Linked DNA regions of Callithrix jacchus. The protein of the gene in region 1 binds, or shares a complex with, the protein of each later gene. Links are inferred from orthologs where the notes say so. Each region holds a gene or a part of one and is shown on either strand. Other genes may lie near its edges. The genes, in order: BCCIP and TENT5A.

What was found.
Region 2: the proteins of BCCIP (region 1) and TENT5A are in contact, whole or in part, in a crystal structure (PDB 8EXE), measured with the Homo sapiens proteins. The link is inferred for Callithrix jacchus from reciprocal best matches to the Homo sapiens genes BCCIP and TENT5A. Residues at the interface, in NP_510868.1 of Homo sapiens: Val57, Asn58, Ile59, Glu60, Phe61, Glu62, Ala63, Tyr64, Ser65, Leu66, Gln146, Val149, Leu150, Phe152, Cys153, Glu154, Lys155, Asn156, Cys157, Glu158, Lys159, Glu163, Lys167, Leu203, Ala204, Ala206, Thr225; in NP_060103.2 of Homo sapiens: Arg87, Gly88, Asp139, Glu151, Gln155, Lys158, Lys184, Glu185, Val188, Gln189, Lys190, Met191, Val192, Lys193, Val194, Cys195, Asn196, Asp199, Trp201, Asn213, Arg289, Lys295, Glu331, Arg334, Gln341, Asn342, His343.

Annotation. Positions count from the first base shown.
Region 1 is NC_133513.1:119,139,047-119,142,852, reverse strand, and holds part of BCCIP (BRCA2 and CDKN1A-interacting protein), read right to left. Parts: intron 3,644-3,806; coding exon 3,554-3,643; intron 2,795-3,553; coding exon 2,607-2,794; intron 1-2,606. UniProt on the Homo sapiens protein: During interphase, required for microtubule organizing and anchoring activities. During mitosis, required for the organization and stabilization of the spindle pole.
Region 2 is NC_133505.1:87,246,475-87,251,039, reverse strand, and holds the start of TENT5A (terminal nucleotidyltransferase 5A), read left to right. Parts: upstream 1-1,568; 5' UTR 1,569-1,856; coding exon 1,857-1,876; intron 1,877-2,052; coding exon 2,053-2,641; intron 2,642-3,755; coding exon 3,756-4,532; 3' UTR 4,533-4,565.

The DNA.
Region 1 (3,806 bases):
TGAGGCATCTTCAGTGGGTTCTGCTATGTTGGTGGCATTCAATCTGGACACTTAGTCTAAAGCAATGATTTTTATTTACATCATCAGTTGCATTTTGGATTATGAACCACTTTTTATAATAAATTGTATGATACATCTCTGATTTATATAGCAACTAACAGATGAATCTCAAATTCACTCAATATAACATCACTACTTGCCTGTGTAGAAGTTAAAAATACATGAATCTGAATTTTTGGAAGCAATGAGCATTGAACTGAAACACACAGAGGTATACAGACACAAGCAATGTCACTACAGCCTGTGACGACTACAGTCTCTTAATTGCTAGAGTCTGAAACTAACTTCTGACATACTGCAGCAACTGCAAACACATACCCTAAATTCTAGCAATGGAATGGCAATGAAACCTTAATGTTTCTTCTTTCTGAATATTAAACATAGTCTTGTGCATCTGGATGCCCTCGAACAAAAGAAGAAACTCAGAACAACCCTCTTCTTCAGCTTTCCCTTTTTTTTTTTCTTTTTTTTGGAGACAAAATCTCAGTCTGTTGCCCAGGCTGCTGTTGCCCAGGCTGCAGCGTACAATGGCGCAATCTCAGCTCACTGCAACCTCCACCTCCCACGTTCAAACGATTTTCATGCCTCAGCCTCCCAAGTAGCTGAGATTACAGGCCTGCACAACCATGCCCAGCTAATTTTTTTTTTTTTTGGTAATTTTAGAATTGGGGTTTTGCCATGTTGGCCAACCTGGTCTCAAACTCCTAGCCTCAAGCAATCTGCTAGCCTCAGCCTCCCAAAGTGCTGGAATTACAGGTGTGAGCCACCACACCTGGCCTACCCCCACCAACCACCTTTTTTTTTTTTTTTTTTTTTTTTTTTAAAGAGACAGGGTCTTGTAATGTTGCCCGGGCTGGAGTGCAGTCGGTATTCACAGGCACAGTCATCACACACTGCAGCTTGGAACTCCTGGCCTCAAGCTTTCCTCCCGAGTAGCTGGGACTACAGGTATGTGCTACTGTGGTTGGCTCTCCAGTGGTGCGATCCCGGCTCACTGCAACCTCTGCCTCCCGGGTTCAAATGATTCTCCCTGCCTCAGCCTCCTGAGTAGCTGGGATTACAGGAACCTGCCACCATGCCTGGCTAATTTTTGTATTTTTTTTAGTAGAGACAGGGTTTCACCATGTTGGCCAGGCTGGTCTCAAACTCCTGACCTCAGGTGATCCACCCGCCTTAGCATCCCAAAGTGCTGGGATTAGAGTGTGAGCCAGTATGCCTCACTTCAACTTTCTTTTAACAAAACTAGGAGAAAGCAAATCACCCTTCTATAAAAGCAAATAAACGTGAGCTTCAGCTGATCAGGAAAAAAAAAAAAACACTTAAGGCACCAGAAACACAATCTGAGCTGCAGCTGAGAGAACAGGGAGCAGGAGGTAAGCAGCACTGAATCCCTAGGAAAAACAGCAAACCTAAAGGTTTCCAGAGTAGAACTGTATTCCTACGGCTATTTAAAGGGAAACCACAACACAAGTGCTGTGACTTCTGAGAAAGAATATTCTATCAAGAAGCTGTCAGGCCAGGTGTGGTGGCTCACGCCTATAATCCCAGCACTTTGGGAGGCCAAGGCGGGCAGATCACAAGGTCAGGAGTTTGAGACCAGGCTGGCCAATGTAGTGAAACCCCATCTCTACTAAAAATACAAAAAATTAGCTGAGCATGGTGATGGCTGCCTGTAATCCTAGCTACTCGGAAGGCTGAGGTAGGAGAATTGCTTGAACCTGGAGGGCGGAGGTTGCAGTGAGCCGAGATTGCGTTATCACATTCCAGCCCAAGTGACAGAGCAAGACTTCAACTCCAAAAAAAAGAGGAACCTGTTTAGGCCAAGAGCTGCGACTGACACCTGTAATCCCAACACTGGGGGGCCAAGGCAGGAAGATCACTTTAGCCTAGGAGTTCAAGACCAGCCTGGGCAACATGGCAAGACCCTGTCTCTACCCAAAAAAAAAAAAAAAAATTACATAGATGGAAATAAATAAGTGAATCTGCCTATATTATGCCCTCCATTGCAAAGCACAAGCAATACAATTCTTACTACACTCAGTCTGCTAGATTTCGCGGCTACATTTGAAATATTTTTGTAATCTTAAAACTCCTGCATTAAAAAAACAGAACAACAAAAAACCCTGAAAAACTAGACACAGTATCAGGACTATGGTTTCCTTAGTTATGAAACACACCAAGAGAATTTGGGAATTTTACCAGTTTTGTTATTGTTGTAATTGTTCAGCATTTGTGTTGCAGAAAGCTGTATGTAAAGGTGTAAAACTTCAATCAAATGGGGATTGAAAAGTCTACATGAAATTATCTACTTAGATACCACTTAAATCTTAAGTTTAAAGATGGTTAAGATTATTGACACAAACTCTTTAAAAAGCCAGTTAATAATGTATGCACTTCACAGGAGGCTTCTTCCACTTCTCTCACACTAAACCCACTTAACCCAAGGACAGAGCTCCTTATTTATCTACATATTCTACTTAAATGACATTTCTGAATCTACTTTGGAAAAAAATTACTGTTCAAAGGCATTTTCCTAAGTCTCTTACTGAAGCTGCTGGTACATGGGCAGAGCGATCTGTGGAGGGACGTTAATGAATCTTTCACTTAGGAGAAGGCCCACAGCCTTGGTGGTGTCATTTAAAAGCTTGTCCAGCTGTTCAACCATGCTCTTTTCACAGTTCTTCTCACAGAAGCTTAGAATCAACTCTTTAATTTGTTCAGCACACTGAGTACCCTAGAAAGCAAAGAGAAAGTTTGTTTTCTATTACAGCCAACCACTTACAGGAGAAAACCTGAAAGTGAGAGCTATCACTTTTCATCTTACAGCTAAGGGCAGTTTGCTGCCACAGCCTTTAGCATCTTGTACGTCTTCAGTGTTGATCGCTTAAGTATTTCTTAAAAGCAAACACACTGGTTACTTACCATCCCATGATCAGTGGTAAGAAGGTCATAATTAACATTCAGACACACTGGAATAGCAACTCTAGTCCACCTCATAAAGATAGATGGAAGTAGCTGGAAAGTTCATTTCAAAATGAAAGATTAAGTGTAGCCTGCATCTTATTCCGAGGAGGGTAAGCAGCTGATTTACTTTTATTACAACTCATTAGTCAATAAAAACCGATGAAGCAAAACAAAATAAAATGTCAGTAAGTGCCCTCAACTTTGAAGCAACAAAGCCTCAGAATATCCCCACCACACAAGTAGTAAAGATAACAGCTGCAGAGACACAGTACCAACAGCTCCTGCATCAGTACCAACATCAGGACTGCCAAACCAGATGATTCCCTAAACCACAGGGAGTAAACAACTTTAACTGGGTACAGATTATTCAAAACACCATCACCTTCATATTGAAAATGGATTATAATAACAGCACTTATCCCTCTCGTTAATATCATCATCTGACATAAAAGATATATCCACCATGCATTAAATAGAAGTGGTTTTGGCCTAAGAAATAACCATTGAGATGTCACCCCGTGAAACCAACCTTTCTTTCAGTTAAATTCAAAAGGCTTATGAAACCAAAAATCTCATCTTCATCCACATCATCATCGCTGTCTTCTGAAACATTCGTTTGCTATTTTAAAAGAAAAAATATTTTAATTTTATATTTAGTTGAGTATAATACCAAGTCTTGGGATGTAGGCCTCATTTATCTTTTCACTTTTCAAAAGCAAAACTCTGTTTTACCGCCGTCATCTTAGAAAGCATTATATTTTAAATACTGTCACAGTTTTACC
Region 2 (4,565 bases), on another chromosome or scaffold:
CATCGGTGTGCTCTGAAGGAAGCGATGGCCCCTGAGGACAGGTTAGTGGTCCTGGAGTCCGCAGGCGCACCTCAGTGCTTAGGTGCAGCGCTGAGAGGACGGCCTTTGCCATGGGGCCAGTCGGGTTTCTCCATTTTGGGACGCAGCTCGGCAGGACACCAGCAGGGGGCGGCGTCGTCCCGCAGCTGGATGCTCCACGAGTGACACCCCCCCAGCACCCCACCTCTCATCTCCAAGCCCCGCAGCTTCAGTGATTAGGCCGGAACTCCCCCAGTTCGGAGGTGCGGGCTGTTTTTCTTCCCAGGCTGGGAGGGCAGGGCTGAGCAGGGTTTAGGGAGTATTCTGTGACCCTGGCATTTCCCCCCTTTGCCCTACTTTAACCCCCGGCAGCGTCTAGGCGCTGGGAAAGCTGCTCAGGGTTAGGTGACGGAGGCTGTGAGCGGCCAGAAGAGATGGCCACAGCTTTCTAGCAAAGACAGTGGTGGTGGCGCGAGTGAGCGTGGGGAGAACCCTTAACTCTGTCGAAGTAACTGAAGCTGTAGGGGAGAATTCGTTTTATTCCTGAAACTCCTTTTACCTCTCATGGGAAACCAAATAGTATTCCACGGACACAATGATGCACTTAAAACTGCCAAACCTTAGCGGGCCGCGAGGAAGACACTTCGCCGCTTCGGGTTTTCTAAAAAAGAACGCGCAGCAAAGCGCTCAACAGCAAGTAGCCCTTTCCCCCGACTCCGGGGCCCTGCGCACTCCCCGTGCGCGCTCTCGGCACCGCACTCGGCCCGCCCCGTCCTCTGCGATTGGCTGCTCTCCGCTCCGTGACGCCCCCCGGCCCCCGCCGCGCACCCGGTTCCTCGGGAGCCACTCCTGTGCAGGAGCCGCGCACGCCCGCGGCCTGGGGTGTCGCCCCCGCGCCTTCTCTTGCTAGCCAGGAGCTCCCTGGCGCGCCTGCCGAGGTTTCGAGAATCGAAATCCGGTTATCAACAAGCCCTTCCCACTCGCGCAGCCGTGACTGATTTGCGTGCACGAGTGGACTCAGGAGTCCACGCTTGGATCGAGTTTGTCAATGGAGTAAATGGTCTCAGCTAGAAATCGACATTTAAGAGAGTTCGTGAGGAACCTCCGTGAGAAACCTCCGAATCTCAGCCGTGAAGATATAATGACGGGCAGTATCCGCGAAAATTTTAGAAAGTTTCTGCAGTTGCAGAATTTTAGTCGTGATCTGGTTTTGATGACCAATTATGACTCCTGAGGCATTTAATGTGTTTCCTCATGGGAGAAAAGATATGTGGGAGGGGGCGTACTTAAATCAAATGTATGTATAAATACACGCATAGCTATAGGCGCACACACGTATACACATACAGCCCGGGGCCTCGCACTCTCTGGAGGTCGACCCGCAACCAGGCCGGCTGGGCAAGTCCGCTGCGCGCCTGGCGGGCGGGGAGGGCGGGGGGCAGGAGGCGGTGCCCTATGCAGATGAGGAGGGTGTGGCGAGCGTGCCGCTCCGGGGCCCCGGAAGCGCAGAAAAGCCCGGTATAAAAAAAGTACTGAAGACGTTTTCCCCCGCACAACTGCTAAAGCTCCAGAGACACAATCGTGTGCGGCAGCAAGAGCCGCCACCTTCGGGACCACAGCAGCTGGGGCGGCAGCGGCGCGGGAGGGGGCGCGGGGAGGGAGTGGTGAGCGCAGGCGGCAGGGGTCTGGGAAAGACTTAAGTCGCTAGTCGCTGCCGGAGCGCAATCGCAGCTCCTGGAATTGTTTCCGCCTCGCGGTTTCTCTCTTGCTCGCTGCGCTCCTAGAAGGGGCGGCCGCCTCCAGGTGACACAGACGGGACTCTCGCTTGTGCTTTCCAGATGCATCAGAGATACTTTTGGTGCGGGGCTGCTCTGCGGGGCGCGGGGCGCGGCTGGGGATTATAAAGGCCCGGGGAGGGAGAGTCTCCCAGGAGCCCCCGGGTCAGGGAGAGATCGGTGGAGGGGGCGCTCTTTTCCTGGCGGGCCGCTGCCCTCCGCCGCGGTGTCCTTACCGCTCCTTTCCCCTTCCTTTTAGGACTGACCAGGGCCAAGTGGCGCTCGGTGGGCACTACATGGCGGAGGGCGAAGGGTACTTTGCCATGGCCGAGGACGAGCTGGCCTGCGGCCCCTACATTCCCCTAGGCGGCGACTTCGGCGGCGGCGACTTCGGCAGCGCAGAATTCGGCGGTAGTGGCTTCGGCGGCGGCAGCAGCTTCGATGAGCACTGCTTGGACTATTGCGAAAGCCCCACGGCGCACTGCAACGTCCTGAACTGGGAGCAAGTGCAGCGGCTGGACGGCATCCTGAGCGAGACCATTCCGATCCACGGGCGCGGCAACTTCCCCACGCTCGAGCTGCAGCCGAGCCTGATTGTGAAGGTGGTGCGGCGGCGTCTGGCGGAGAAGCGCATCGGCGTCCGCGACGTGCGCCTCAACGGCTCGGCCGCCAGCCACGTCCTGCACCAGGACAGCGGCCTGGGCTACAAGGACCTGGACCTCATCTTCTGCGCAGACCTGCGCGGGGAAGGGGAGTTTCAGACTGTGAAGGACGTCGTGCTGGACTGCCTGTTGGACTTCTTACCCGAAGGGGTGAACAAAGAGAAGATCACACCACTCACGCTCAAGGTAAAAACTACCCGAGATGCACTTGGGTCCTGACCCGGCTGGACCGGGTGCGACGGGGAGCGGGCAGAGGGACATCGGTTAAATGCCATGAATCTGTGGCCATCACGGGTTTGGGCGCGCGTATTTCTTTGATTTTTTTTAAATGAGTAAACTTACGTGTGTGGACGGTGTTGAGTGTTTCAGTTTACTTGATGCTTCGGCGCTACAACTCTTCTCCAACGTCCTCCTCTGCCCTACCTTTCTTCCTTTTCCTTATGTTTTAACTCTTGACTTTCCCTGTTGGGGTCTTGTCCAGAGTAGATTTTGATACTCGGCAGAATGAAATGATGTAAATAATGTTTTGAGTTATGATCCAGTCCTTGGGAAAAGAGCAGCCTGAAGCAGAAGTGAGTCAATGAGTTTTTTTTATTGTACTGGAAAAGGTGAATAGATTTCATAGCAGTACTCAGCTGACTCTGTGTTAAAGGTCTATCTTGTGGTTCTCCGTGCTGGTTCATATGTTAAGGGTATAGTGGTAGCCCCTACCCACCCTCCACTTTAGTTCAAGACGGGTTTTATATGATAAGTCAAAATTGTTTGAGGAGGCAGGCTCCCAGAACGTCGTAATTTAGTTTATATTTGATTGTAACTGCAGAGTACCCCTGGAGGAGCACACAAGATACTGATAACATTGATTGCCGCGGGCGTAGAGGGATTGGGTGGCTTGGAACAAGGGTGAGAGGCTGACTAACCTACAGCTGAATGCCTTCCTGAGTTTTGAATGTTGTTTGGATACTGTGTGAATATTGTGCCTATTAGACCATTTTCAAAAAGTAACACTTAAAAGTCAGACATGACAACAGAACCTCTTACTACTGTGCTACGTCTGCCAAAAGCCTCAAACTATTACCTCTAGTGCCTTTCCCAGACAGTAAAACTACTCGTTAAAAGTATTTTTTTTTTTTCTATTTTCAGAAGATCGTTTACGCCTGTAGATAGTGTTTGGCTGAAACTTGACAAAACAAAAGGGAAAGAGCAAAATCATTCTCAGCTGTGAGGAGGATGGATTTATTTATTTATTAATTTATTATTGTTTTCTAGGTTTGCTCATTTTGTTTTATCTTTTAAATTGTAGGAAGCTTATGTGCAGAAAATGGTTAAAGTGTGCAATGACTCTGACCGATGGAGTCTTATATCCCTGTCAAACAACAGTGGCAAAAATGTGGAACTGAAATTTGTGGATTCCCTCCGGAGGCAGTTTGAATTCAGTGTAGATTCTTTTCAAATCAAATTAGACTCTCTTCTGCTCTTTTACGAATGTTCAGAGAACCCAATGACTGAGACATTTCACCCCACAATAATCGGGGAGAGCGTCTATGGAGATTTCCAGGAAGCCTTTGATCACCTTTGTAACAAGATCATTGCCACCAGGAACCCAGAGGAAATCCGAGGGGGAGGCCTGCTTAAGTACTGCAACCTCTTGGTGAGGGGCTTTAGGCCCGCCTCTGATGAGATCAAGACCCTTCAGAGGTATATGTGTTCCAGGTTTTTCATCGACTTCTCAGACATTGGAGAGCAGCAGAGAAAACTGGAGTCCTATTTGCAGAACCACTTTGTGGGACTGGAAGACCGCAAGTATGAGTATCTCATGACTCTTCATGGAGTGGTGAATGAGAGCACAGTGTGCCTGATGGGACATGAAAGAAGACAGACTTTAAATCTTATCACCATGCTGGCTATCCGGGTATTAGCTGACCAAAATGTCATTCCTAATGTGGCTAATGTCACTTGCTATTACCAGCCAGCCCCCTATGTAGCAGATGCCAACTTTAGCAATTACTACATTGCACAGGTTCAGCCAGTATTCACATGCCAGCAACAGACCTACTCCACTTGGCTACCCTGCAATTAAGAATCATTTAAAAATGTCCTGTGGGGAAGCTAT